Linked DNA regions of Danio rerio. The main gene of each other region encodes a partner of the protein of the gene in region 2 in a complex. Links are inferred from orthologs where the notes say so. Each region holds a gene or a part of one and is shown on either strand. Other genes may lie near its edges.

The links.
Region 1: rbm15 (region 2) and wtap share a complex: the UniProt entries of both Homo sapiens proteins name them as parts of the WMM complex. The link is inferred for Danio rerio from reciprocal best matches to the Homo sapiens genes RBM15 and WTAP.
Region 3: rbm15 (region 2) and mettl14 share a complex: the UniProt entries of both Homo sapiens proteins name them as parts of the WMM complex. The link is inferred for Danio rerio from reciprocal best matches to the Homo sapiens genes RBM15 and METTL14.

The regions. Positions count from the first base shown.
Region 1 is NC_133195.1:33,721,988-33,726,330, forward strand, and holds the start of wtap (pre-mRNA-splicing regulator WTAP), read right to left. Parts: upstream 2,805-4,343; 5' UTR 2,648-2,804; exon of another isoform or gene 2,460-2,647; intron 1,878-2,459; 5' UTR 1,870-1,877; coding exon 1,840-1,869; intron 1,745-1,839; coding exon 1,689-1,744; intron 1,598-1,688; coding exon 1,539-1,597; intron 1,386-1,538; coding exon 1,258-1,385; intron 1-1,257. Other genes in the region: sod2 (superoxide dismutase [Mn], mitochondrial), read left to right, coding at 3,843-3,871. UniProt on the Homo sapiens protein: Associated component of the WMM complex, a complex that mediates N6-methyladenosine (m6A) methylation of RNAs, a modification that plays a role in the efficiency of mRNA splicing and RNA processing.
Region 2 is NC_133183.1:26,684,685-26,688,903, forward strand, and holds the start of rbm15 (RNA-binding protein 15), read right to left. Parts: upstream 2,844-4,219; 5' UTR 2,697-2,843; coding exon 135-2,696; 3' UTR 1-134. UniProt on the Homo sapiens protein: RNA-binding protein that acts as a key regulator of N6-methyladenosine (m6A) methylation of RNAs, thereby regulating different processes, such as hematopoietic cell homeostasis, alternative splicing of mRNAs and X chromosome inactivation mediated by Xist RNA.
Region 3 is NC_133176.1:21,570,417-21,574,656, reverse strand, and holds the start of mettl14 (N(6)-adenosine-methyltransferase non-catalytic subunit METTL14), read left to right. Parts: upstream 1-1,436; 5' UTR 1,437-1,528; coding exon 1,529-1,594; intron 1,595-1,735; coding exon 1,736-1,824; intron 1,825-2,026; coding exon 2,027-2,114; intron 2,115-2,219; coding exon 2,220-2,297; intron 2,298-2,880; coding exon 2,881-2,968; intron 2,969-3,046; coding exon 3,047-3,137; intron 3,138-3,426; coding exon 3,427-3,568; intron 3,569-4,075; coding exon 4,076-4,168; intron 4,169-4,240. Other genes in the region: prss12 (neurotrypsin), read right to left, coding at 1-51. UniProt on the Homo sapiens protein: The METTL3-METTL14 heterodimer forms a N6-methyltransferase complex that methylates adenosine residues at the N(6) position of some mRNAs and regulates the circadian clock, differentiation of embryonic stem cells and cortical neurogenesis.

The DNA.
Region 1 (4,343 bases), on a different chromosome or scaffold from region 2:
GTAAGAGACCATTAGAATCTCAGCATTTCAAACTAAAAATTAAAAGTCAATGGAGTATGCAAGTACGTATATAAAAGGCTCATACATATTTTTGCTAATAAAATTCCATGATTTTTCTAAGACTTACAAGTAAATATTTATGGCCTAATGTTTCATGCATTATCTACATATATGAGGTAAAAGAAAAACAATGCAAGTTCAAATTTATTACAGCATATCATAAAATACGCAACAATCCATTTAGTTTCAATTTATATCTATGTAAATTTGATTTAGATAATGCTTACACCGCACTAATAATTTGAGAGTATATGATTGGCCAAGGAAGAAAAGTAAAAAACCTTTATTCAAGTATACAGATATCCAATTTCCATGACTTTTCCAAAACTTTGTGGCTTTTGTTTTTCCAAAACTTTAGCAGGCCTGGAAAACACCATGTCAAAATTCCATGACTTTTCTAGGTTTTCTATGATGGTATGAACCCTGTTTATATAAATAAAAAACTTCAGCTTTGAAACTAGTATACAGTTAAAGTTTTAATTTTTGAAACAACTGTTTAATACCAAGCTCATTGTCTAGTTAATGAGTAGCTTGTATAACTGAAGTGCTTTGATGTCCCAATATTAAACAATCACCGCAATGAAAACTAGTCTAGTTGAAACTCCAAACCCTATTCGTAATGTCATTTGTACCTGCTACAAATAAAGTTTGTGCCTGAATGTGAAAGTTGCAGTAAAAGGTGGAACACTGTAGACATGCACAAGCCTGCATCCGCCACCACTTGCATTTGTTTTGCTTTATGCCAGCATGTTGAAATGTTGGAAAATTTATGCTCATATCCGCTTCAGTACAGCATGATAAATTACAGCTAGAATTTGCATGGCCGACATTTGAAAACACATTTGACTAGATCATAGCAGCTATTACATTTGCAATGTTTTTTGATGTCTCACAGATCATTAGAAAAAGAAATGCATCTGCTATATGTAAACAAAAAGAAATCATCATGGTGGGGACCCATGAGCAGAAGCAGCATCTCAAATCACATGCACTCTTCTTGAGTGGATACTCATTTTGAATAACTTACTATTTGCACCTACTTATAGTAGGGAAGTGTGCAACTTAGGCAGCACCTACAAAACTCAGACACTCAGTACTACTCAAACAAACTGACATATTTCCAAGAATAGACTTGATCATAAAGCAGAAGTAAACAGATGTAGTAGTGATTAAGAAAAAAAAGAAAAAAAAACTTACTGTACACTCTTGCATTTCCTGCTCTTTTGTAGCAAGCCTCATCACCAGAATGTTCTCTCTGCGTGCAGATTCCTGCTGTTGCTGCTTCAACTTCTCCTCAGACTCTTTCAGGCCTGTCACGTCATTGGCTGCAGACATTTCAACATGAAACAAATGCATTAGTTACCAACAATTCATTTTATGCAATAACATTACTTTAACACAAAGACTGAACACTCTGTGCTTGAGTAAAGCACTCAAGACTATGAATTATTCAGAACATTTAAGATGTGCATACTTACAGTTTAAATCAGCATATTTCGCCTCAAGCATCTGGACGTAAGTTTCATGCTGTTTCCACCTACACCCGGAAAGAAAACATACCAGCATTACAATCAAGAATCTTTCAACTTGCATACTTTGTTTTTGCGGGAGAGAGAATGGTTACATACCTGGTACAGAGCTCCTCTCGAGTCAGCGTCTTCATGTCAGATTCACTAAGGCGAACCTGCAAGTACATAAAAAGAAAATAAAGACTCATAAAGAGACCTTGTTCAGGAGAAAGAATCATATAATCAGATTAGACTGGGACAAAGAGCTCACCTTCTTCGGGAGAGGTTCTTCATTGGTCATTCTGATCTCTGCAAGACAGAAGCATACAAACCAAACACTTAGTAAGTTCAAATAAATCAATGAATCAAACCTACACACGCAATTTCAAGCAACAATATGCAGAAAAGATTTAGAGACAGTTGCATGGATTTCACACGCCTACACGTGTGCTATAACGAATATAGGCCACCAGGCGAGGGAGAGGTTGTTGTTTCTCAATTACAACAGATATTGTGGAGGAATTTGCTTAGTTAAGGCCAATTATTCACTTTCTGATAATTAAATGCAGCAAACATGTGGAAACAAACTAAACTGCGAAAATGTGAAAAAATATCACTTAACATTTTGACCTAACCTTAACTTACTGCTAAAACGTTATATGCATCTTGAATTGCACATTTAACGTATTATAATCGAAAAATGCAAACTGTAGCCCTTAAATATTATTTCATATAGCCAAACAAGAAGGTTAGTTTCGTAATTCAGGCGAATTGAGTTCGTCAATTAACGATTTGACTTGGTAAACGCTCTGCGCCGCAAACAACCGCGCGCCATTCTCATAGTCTCAGGAACGGTGCTCGTTACTCCCGGGGAAGACATGAAGAACTTACGTAGCCGATAATGCAGATTCGTCTTAAAACATAGACAATAAATGACTGCAGACGCACAGGAATAAAAATGTACCGGCGCCTTCTTGGAGCATTTTCGCTGTCACAAAATGGCGGAGAAGGAAGAGACTCTCCCTCTCCGAGAAGCAGCACTTTATCTGAAATAGCCGTATTAAATCCCTACCACTTACCAGAGCCGGTTCGCCTCGACCAGAATGACACGTATGTCTTCCAATGTGAGATACGAAAGAGTTATTTTTATTAATATAGTTCTCGGGATAGGGAAAATGTTGCGTTTTTTATTTAGACGAAAGGTAGCCCGTCCGCCATGACCAGCGTGTGCGCGATGTTCAGCCGCACAGCATCAGTGTGTTCGTTCGCGCGAGCGCTGAGGAGGAGGAGCACGTTCCTGTCACTGTGTTGCCAGGTTGATATTGAACAACAGTGCATCTTTTACAGTACAACAAACAACCTATTACAATTATGATAACATAGCTTATTTATAACTTACATGCATACATTCAAACGTTAATGTATATAATCATTCATTTATTAATTGACTTCATTTTTGCTTTGTTAGTTAGTTAGGTGTAGGTAGCTAGTTGTAAAAGACAAATTACCACACAAAACATACCGACCACCACGACATCAATAATAAAGGCACAAGAAAAGAAGGACTAAAATATATATTTTGTGTGTCCTGTTTAGTGTTTTCCAAAAGTCCTTTCTCATATCCGGTTTGTTTTCTGACACGTTTCTTTTGATTGATCTGGCAACCCTGGTATGTAAGCTTTAATGCTAACTAAACGATAACACGTTTTACTCTCTCTATATACATACATGATCAAGTTAATTACATTAGATATTCGCCATAGGAATTACGATCTGTGTAATTCTTAACCCATTGCTTGTAATCTCTTTGCAAAATTACTAAGTGGAAAGAAATTGAGCTATTCATTTTGCTTTAATGTGAAGCAAAACAAAATGTACAATCCTAATAAATCAGGCAACAAAAGTTCTAAAACGAAACCATTTATTTACTGTCTCACTCTGGACCTAGGCCTAGAATGACTGACTGAATTACACCAACTGGGACAGGGGGCATGGTTTTTGCACCCTCTTTACATTGTAGTACTATCGATCCCTTGAGATATATATAATATATACTATGCTCTCAAATATTCATAATTTATTTTTACACGGAAATATTCTTTATAGTTTAGTCTGCAATCAATAAAAATACAAAAAAAATTTTCTCAGACCCCTATTTTGACAAAATGGTATGGTCTAGTCCAAGTTGAAGTTGAAATTTCAAGGGCAGGTTGTAATGTGGCGAATTTAGGTCTGTTGGTTGGTCGCTTGTATCACTGTGTGACGGACTAGAGCATGCTGTGCAGAGTCGGATATGTTCGGAGGTAATGATAAAGCCTGAATCGGTTCTAATACTATATGCCGCTGTCTGAATATCAAATGTTGTTTATATAATCAATGGCGGTATTAATAACCTGCGCACATTTACCTGTTTGGTTGAGCGTTTAAGCGGACAGCAATAGTTTACGTAAGTAATATTACGAGAGTAGTTTTAACAAGGAATAACTTTAGATGCTTAGGCTATATTTGCTGTTGTATATGAGTTGTGTACTTGTAATTGCATTAGCCTCCGTCGAGCCTGTCAAACAACAGCTTAACGTGTTAAAATGTTCAAATTAATATATATTTAATAATTAAATGTGTGCTGTTGGCTTTTATTTTAAACGAACCATACAAACCTTTCGACCAAATCTTCGTCAACATTCCTAAAAAATACTTTCATCAGAAATCATTGCAATTTGTGTCAAACAGTTGCTATTGAAGCACTTATGTTTGACAAACAGTCAGTTTTATCAC
Region 2 (4,219 bases):
ACTGTACATGTTTGGCAGAGCAGGTAACAACAGCTGCCCTTTACTCTAGTACCACTTCTGCTTTAGAGAGCATGCAATTAAGAGACATTAAGAGAAGCTTGCATTTAACAATACTTTAGTGTGTATTATGACTGTTAAGATGCTCCTCGCACAACGATCATGACCAGGAAGTCCTCTTCTGTTTTGGCAAGAGCTTTCGCAGAAGAATCTAAGAACTGCTGAGAGAAATCACATGGTGGAAATGCGTGCAGGACGCCAGTGTTGTCCTTATCTCTACTGCCGCCGACGGGCAAACTGATGACCCCGGCGGCCTGCTTTTGCTTCAGGTATGAAACCAGGTTGCGGAGAGGCCTCTGCGTGGATGCTGCTGGGTCTGATGATGAAGTCTCCTCAGAGCTGCCTGGAACTGCCAGTAGAACTGCGTAGCCTCCTGGGCCTGCCACTTTGATGCGCCGAGACACCTCGTCGATCTTGGGCTGGTCTAGACGAAGCCGTTGTGTGATGCGCAGCTGAGAGACTTTTCCACCCGTGCTGCCGTCGATGAGAAGGCTGGTGGCGACGCTCAGGTCCCCCTCCAGGAGGTGCATGCTGGCTGGGAAGTTACTGTTCTTGAGGAGCAGCATGCCATTCCAGGCCATGCTCAGCTTCCCCCCTGCGTCCTGTTTTGAAGCTTGGTTGCTTTTGGAGCTGCTTTCGGATCTGTCCCTCTTGGATGCACCTTTAGCTGAATCGCCCGCTTTGCGCTTTCGTTCTGCAGGGCTTGCGCCGATGCTGGACTCAGAGAGGTTGCTGTTGCTTTTGATGCGTTTCTCACCGGGAACTCGGTCCAGGCTGCTGCGGCTCTCTCGTGCTGGGGACACCCGGTCTGCTCTCGCTGGACGCTCAGAGTCACTGAAACGTCCGTCTCGGCTGCTGCCGCCTGGGCTGCCCTCAAGCGACGGGGGTCTGCGACGGCGGGCCGCCCACTCACTGCTGCTGTCAGGCGAACACTCCAGATGTCTGCCGTCCTCCATGAGCCGCCGTTTTCGTGCAGCTTCTCTGCCTGGCAGCTCTCGCTCCAGTGACCAGGCCTCTCGCCGTCGTTCACGCTCTAAGTGTTCAAGGGGCTCAAATGCAGGAGTTCGTACACGTTCACGAATAGTAGGTGCTGGCCACTCAGCCCCAGCATAGAGTTCTCTTTCTCTGAAGTGCAGTGGCGGAGGAGTCCGTTCTCTGACCCTGATGGCTTCAGGGGTGGCACGATGAACGAAAGACTCAGCCATGATTTCATAATGTTGCAGGGGGAGGGGCTGCAAGAACTGTTGTTGGTAGCGATGCTCTGTGTCAGCAAAGTCCACCCTCAGCCTCCTGTCAGGACCACCAAGAGGAAATCCACGCATGTGTGTGCAGGCTGCCTGAGCAGCGTCCAGGCTTTCATACTGAATATAAGCCCAGGTGTCCCCTTTTCTGTAGTCTATAGTCCTAATAGTTCCAAAGCGGTCAAATTCCCGGGCTAATGCAGTCAGAGGCACCCAAGGGCCAAGACCACCCACCCATAGTCTTGTGGTTGGGGTGGCTTTACCATATCCAATTTTTATGGGGTTTCGGCCCACAACTTTCCCAGACATGCTAATTTTAGCTCTGTGAGCCATGTCCAAATTCTCAAATTTAAGGAAGCCATAGGTGCTGCTCTGGCCACGAGTGGGTCTTTTAATGTCCACCTCAGTGATTGTCCCAAATCGTTCAAAAGCCCTCCTCAAATCGTTTTCAGTCACAGTAATATCCAAGTTACCCAAAAACAGTGTGCGGTTGGCTCTCTGGTCGTCCTCTGGAGAGATAAAGTCCTCCTCACGGAAAGGAGCGGCTCGCTCTGCTATGTATGCGGGCCGCGCCCTCGCTTCATAAAAGGCAAACTCTCTTTCTCTTTCCAGCTCTCTGGGCAGAGGCGGGGGTGGGGGAGGAGGAAGCCGACCCAGTGCTAACTGCTGTAACCGGTAGTCCCTGTAGCCCAGGCCGGTTGGAGAGAGCGGCCTCTGAGTATGCAAATGTCTATGGCCTGCAACAACAGAGAAATGATCCTCCTTCACCGGAGAGCGACTCCTCCGCCTGTTCAAGTAAACTGCCTCGATTTTTAAAGGACGGTCGTAGAGCACCAGCCGGCCTCGTGCGTGCTTTGCCGCCCTGGCATCATCCGGTCTCCTAAAGTTGACGAATGCGATTCTCTCGTCGTTCACTCGGCTGATTTTGACGCTCACGTCACCAAATTTTTTGAATTCATGAAAGAGGCCGTCCTCGATTTCCTCGTCACTCAGCTGCGAGCCAAGCTCGCTGATTTTTAAAGTTTTGTACTCACTTTCGTTTGTGGGAAGCGGTGCGCGCGCCTCCCCGCGCGAGTTGGTGCGCGCCGCCTCTAAGGACAGACTCGAGGCGTGATTTTTGCCGCTTGAGCTCGCAACAGGGCTCGTGTAACCGTGGTTATTACCAGTCCGACTGGATACATGTCCGTCAAATTCCCGTCCGTCTCTTTTATCTCCAAGCAGTCCCCGTCGTGCAGAGCCCCCGTCGCTTTTAGACGAACTATTGCCGTTGTTGCTTCCTCCGCCAGAATTCGAGATAACCCCCATTTTCTTACTGGTCGGATGGCTTCCTCCCCTGTCTCGTATATCATCCAAGGCCCTTGAACGTTTTTTCACCGGCGACCGCTCTTTACCTTTCATGTTAGATGTCCTCTGGCTTCACGCGCCTAACAAAACACTTTTTTAACTGTAATGCTACCGCAACGTCAACGAATTTGCACGATAAACTGAATAAATTGTTCAGTGTCCCTGCGGCAAAACAACCGCATACGCCATCTTGTCAAGACTAAAACATGACCCGCCCGTCGACTTTGATTGGTTTGAATCTCTGAGAAACGACAGCGCTATTGGCTGATCCGTCTGTCAATCTAAAGCACTAGTACAGCGCCCAGTCTCGCTGTACACCATTTTAGCTTCAAAAGCCAAATGTTTACTATAGCCACTTTATAAAACACAGAGGTGACATTCAACTAACCACACATATAGTCTTTGAGAACATGTACTGCCAATATTATATTTGCTTCTTAAACCATATTTATTAATCATCTCGATAAATCTACAAAGAGTGCTTTGTATAGGCTATTTTTAAAATTAAACGGTGTTTAACTTTAATAGATGCTAAGAGTCTGAGTTTCACCTACATGTTATTTCTTATAAATTTAAATGAACTGTGCAATCTTTATAAAACGTAAGTAATCCAAATAAAAAAAAACTAAAACATTCTCGTTGTTCACTTGATGTCCAACAGATGGTGGTGTTTGCCTTTCACAGAGGTGAACGGACGTGAAAAAACAGCCTTTTAACCATGTCGGTCAGCTATAGATGAGCATTTTCCATGGGTTTTAGCCATTGGTTTTAGCCTAATAACTGAAATAATTTCTTAACTAAAACAATGCAGATCTCTGATTATATGCCCATGTCTGTGAATTTTTTTTTATGTTAAATTGTAAAAAATAAATAAATAAATAAATAAATAAAAGTAATGTTATTGCCTTTAAATTAGTTAAAATTTATCTTAAAACAATTTAGTGTTTTACAATTTGCATGCTTTACTCATACCCTCAGGGACCATTATAGTTTTAACTTATACAATTATCAATTCAACCATCAAAATTAAAAAAAATTACCCCCAAATTATTATTTTTTTCAATGAAGAAAAATAGGAATATATTTATAGGACAATGCTTTGAACTTAATACAAAAACGTCCAAAACCTTAAATGAGTGATAATAAAACAAAATACAACTATTTTAAAAACTTTATCATGCACATAAACACATTCATCCAATGTTGATTCACCAGAAGACAAATTGAACAGCCAACGTGTCATTTATTTATTTTTTACAATGCACAAACTGCATTCAAAATCAAACACTTTCTTGAGTATTTGAGTAGGCTACATACTTTGAAAACACGCCCTACATAATGAACATAGTATTGTTTGAACAATCTAGAACTACAAGATTAGCCATGTTTTAGTGTCACGTGCCCTACATCTTCAGTTACGTCACTTCACTGGCATTCACAGATCCTCTCATGTTGCCTTATGGAATAGTCCCTTGGAAGCACATTGCAGAATCTCACCAAAAGAAGTAGGTCATCTGAATACTTACTACAAGTATAATGAACCTCTTTGTTTTTTACTTACTATAACATAATACATT
Region 3 (4,240 bases), on a different chromosome or scaffold from region 2:
CATAAGCAGAAGCGCGCAGACCGTAAAGACGAACCGACACCTCACATCCATCACGATCAACCTGTCCGTGACTGTCACCCTAACACCCGACAATTACTCTCCAGTCTGCGTGGATAAGACATGGTACCCGAGTTTTCTCATCTTGTCGTTTGGCTGTTATCAGAGCAGCAGACGCGGATCAATAAAAGAGAAACCGGGGAAGCCCGGAGCTTATGACTCATGCATATTGATGATCGTCGCCCAGTCTGGATTTCAAGTTTAAAAAGAGAACAGTTGATGGTAAAAATCAATAGTGTCCTTCATTTAATAGTGACAAGTTGCAGAACAATAGAAAAAGAATCTACGAGGCAAATAGTAATTGCTAAATAAATCATTCCACGATAGCGCCCGAGCTGCGCGCGCCGATCTTCCCACAGAGTGAACTTAAACGAGAGTCTGCCACGTTATATCAGTAATTTGGCGTCTAGTCTGGTCTGGTCATCACTGTTGGTCTCTCCGAGACAACACGGTGTACAAATTTCGGCTCAAGCTTTCAGAACTAATCACAATGACAAACAGCCAAAAGTTCACTTCTGCCCTCTTGTGTCAGTAAAATGCAACCAGAATCAATGCTTTTCATTTATGAAATTATAAACATTATTAATTATAGAATAATAGCTAATTTAAAAATATATTTTTAAAATCGGTTTCAGTTACTTTCAGTCAGCAAGGATAGATCAAAACAAATACAATATTAAAAGAAAAGAAAAAATACAATTATTCAAAGTCTAAATTTAAGGCTTTAAAATAATTAACATTGCTTTTTGTTTTAGTATTTTTTGTTTTTATATCGTACATGATCTATTTCTATTTTAAAATGAGTAAAATTAGGTTTTTTTCACAGCCCATTTACATTTACGAATAAAACAAATTCCACATATAATGAGCAAACACTATACCAAATTTTGAAGCCGGCTGTATTCTCATAATAAACATCATTTCTTTTAATTCCAATGCAATACTCGTACTCCGCAAAAAAAAAAAAGATCACACCAAAACAATAGTGTATAAATACAATCAAAATAAATGAACAATACTCTCTTCTTAATCGTTACAGAAAACACATTTTAAGTCAACACCTTTACAAAATTGTGCAATTACCTGTTTTACATGATAAAAACGATTAACAATTTTAAATATTAAGTTACCTCTCTAATTTTTCAGTTATACAAAAACGTCTGGAGATCTTAAAAGTCTGGTTCGAGTTTACGTCTTGAAATTGTGATCTCCAAAAACTAATGGCTGAAGGAACACTGACAGTCAAATCATTCAAAGATAATCATTATTACATTTTGTTTACGCTAGTTGTTTTTACTCCAAATAAAAGTAAGAGGCCGTCTACTGACGTCACCGTATGCGTCAAGCATTGTGATGATGTAAAATACATGCGACGGTTTCTCACGTTGAGGGTTTCAATGGATTTTTGCCGCACTATTGTTGTCATCTGATCATTTCACGATTAGCTATTTTCCTGCAAAACATTTTCGACATGAACAGCCGCTTGCAAGAAATACGGGAAAGGCAGAAGCTCAGACGTCAGCTTCTCGCACAACAGGTACGAATACACAACTTTATTTCTTCCTGCAGAAAGCCAGTTTTAGCAAACACTGCCATATTAACGCGGTGTTATATTACTAACGCCAATGAACGTAGAAGCATTGCGAATGTTTTATGACATTAATGATTTGTTTTACAGCTCGGAGCAGAGAGTCCCGACAGCATCGGCGCAGTTCTCAACAGTAAAGATGAACAAAAAGAGATTGAAGAGACTAGAGAGACCTGCAGGTATAAACCATTTGTTAAATTCAAGGACTATGTGCAGCACTAAAAAATAAAGAACACTAAGACCTATATACCCCAAAAGAGCTAAAACTGTACTGATAGGACAACCTTTACATTCAGCACGGGTATGTGATGCTGCTACTTGTAAGTTAGTATTAATCAGAACGATGCTGAGGTCAGTTACCATTTGGTTTGTTTACTGTAGGGCATCATTTGACATATCAGTTCCTGGTGCTAAAAGGAAGTGTCTGAATGAGGGTGAAGATCCAGAGGAAGATGTGGAAGAGCAAAAGGTGAGAGAGCGCTGATCAGGAATCGGCTGTTAATTCAGAAAAGCCCTTACATTTGATCAGGTCAGAGCTATGTGTAACTGATTTTGAATCTGCTGTATGGTGTAGGAAGATGTTGAGCCTCAACATCAGGAAGAGAGTGGACCATATGAAGAGGTGTACAAGGACTCCAGCACATTTCTAAAGGTATCTTTAAACACAATTGTATATGATTTAATTGAGCAATCGGGTATGAGAAGCTATGATATTTTTGTGAGGATACTCAGACATATATTCACAAAACGGTTACCACTATATACTGTCATTAAAGGCAAAAACATGGTAATTTTTGAAAAGTACGATCTTTAAATTCTTTCATTCCATCAGAAAAACTGTCCCTTACAGTAAACGTAAACTGCATTGGGTTTTGCAATTAAGGTATGTTTCATAGTTCTTAGAACTAATGTAGGAAATTCTCGCTTTTGACATGTTTGTAATGCAAGGACTAGGAACAGTTTTAGTTATTGGAGCTTTTTTGGGAAACAAGTGTTACATACAGTATATACATACAGAAAGCTAGAGATAGTCTCATTTACCTGTTGGCTTTTTCTGCTTTCTGCATTCTTTCCTTTGTATTCCTTTGTATTATGTATCAGTATAAGATGTCATAGGGGATTTATTTCTTCTGGTTCCTTTTTCAGTTGCATAGTTTATGTCTATGCAAAGTCACTCTAAATATTACTAAAATAACATAAGTAATGTTTTTATTATATCATTACTTGTTTCACAGGGCACTCAGAGTTTAAATCCTCACAATGATTATTGCCAGCACTTTGTGGACACAGGTCATAGACCTCAGAACTTTATCCGAGATGGAGGTAAAGTGTTTTTCTACTTTTTCTTTTTAGTTTTCCACTTTGAGAGTGTGTTAACCTGTGTGTTCTCATGTGCTGTAGGTTTGGCTGACAGGTTTGAGGAATACCCCAAACAAAGAGAGCTCATTCGACTGAAAGATGAACTCATCTCTGCCACCAACACTCCCCCCATGTAAGAAAACTTGGTCTCAGTCTATGTCATAGGGCCCATACCGGCCAGTGGTGCCCATTTGCAGTTTTTGAAACCTGAAAATTATTCACATTTGTGTATAAAACACTGGGTTTTATTTAGATTCTAGAATTTTATTTGAACGTACTAAAAACAAAAGTGATTTTGAGGTTGCTAAGCAAATAAAATCAGTTATTTTTTATAATAATTAGAAGCATTTAACTATGGGACAATTGGGTCTTTTTCAATGCTTTTATGAATGTAATAACTCTTGCGTTTGTGTGCGTTTCAGGTATCTCCAGGCAGATCCAGACACGTTTGATCTGAGAGAGTTGAAGTGCAAGTTTGATGTGATTCTGATAGAGCCTCCATTAGAGGAATATTACAGAGAGTCAGGCATCATTGCCAATGAGCGCTTTTGGAACTGGGACGATGTGAGTTACTGCAAATTCTCAAAATCAACCTCATGAGAATGTTTTTAAAATTGATTTCAATTATGTATTATAATACACATTAGAGATATACTTGACTACACTCAAAAATGAAAATTCTATCATCCCCACTTGTCCCAAAGCTGTTTGAGTTCATTTCTTCTGTTAAACACAAAAGCAGATATAGTGAGGAATGCTGGGGGAAAACAGCCGTTGACTTTCATAGTTTTTTTGTTTGTTTGTTTTAGTTGTTTTTGTTGTTCCTAATATGGATGTAAGTGGCTGCATTTTCCAACATTCTTCAGATTATCTAGTTTTATGTTCAACAGAAGAAAGACATTGATAACAATTTACAACCATTTGAGTCTGACTAAATGGTGAGAATTTTCATTTTTAGATGAACTATCCATTTAGATAACAGTTATTATATATTTTATGCTCATATAATATAATAATGTAAGATGTCCTAACATATATAATAACTTATTTTTGTATTCATGTGTGCTTTAGATCATGAAGCTGAACATAGAGGAAATCTCATCCATTCGCTCTTTTGTATTCTTGTGGTGTGGCTCAGGAGAAGGCCTTGATCTTGGCCGAATGGTACAAATCTCACAAATATACAAACTTGACATGGCAGATTTCTGTTCCATGTGCATAAACCTAAACTTATCT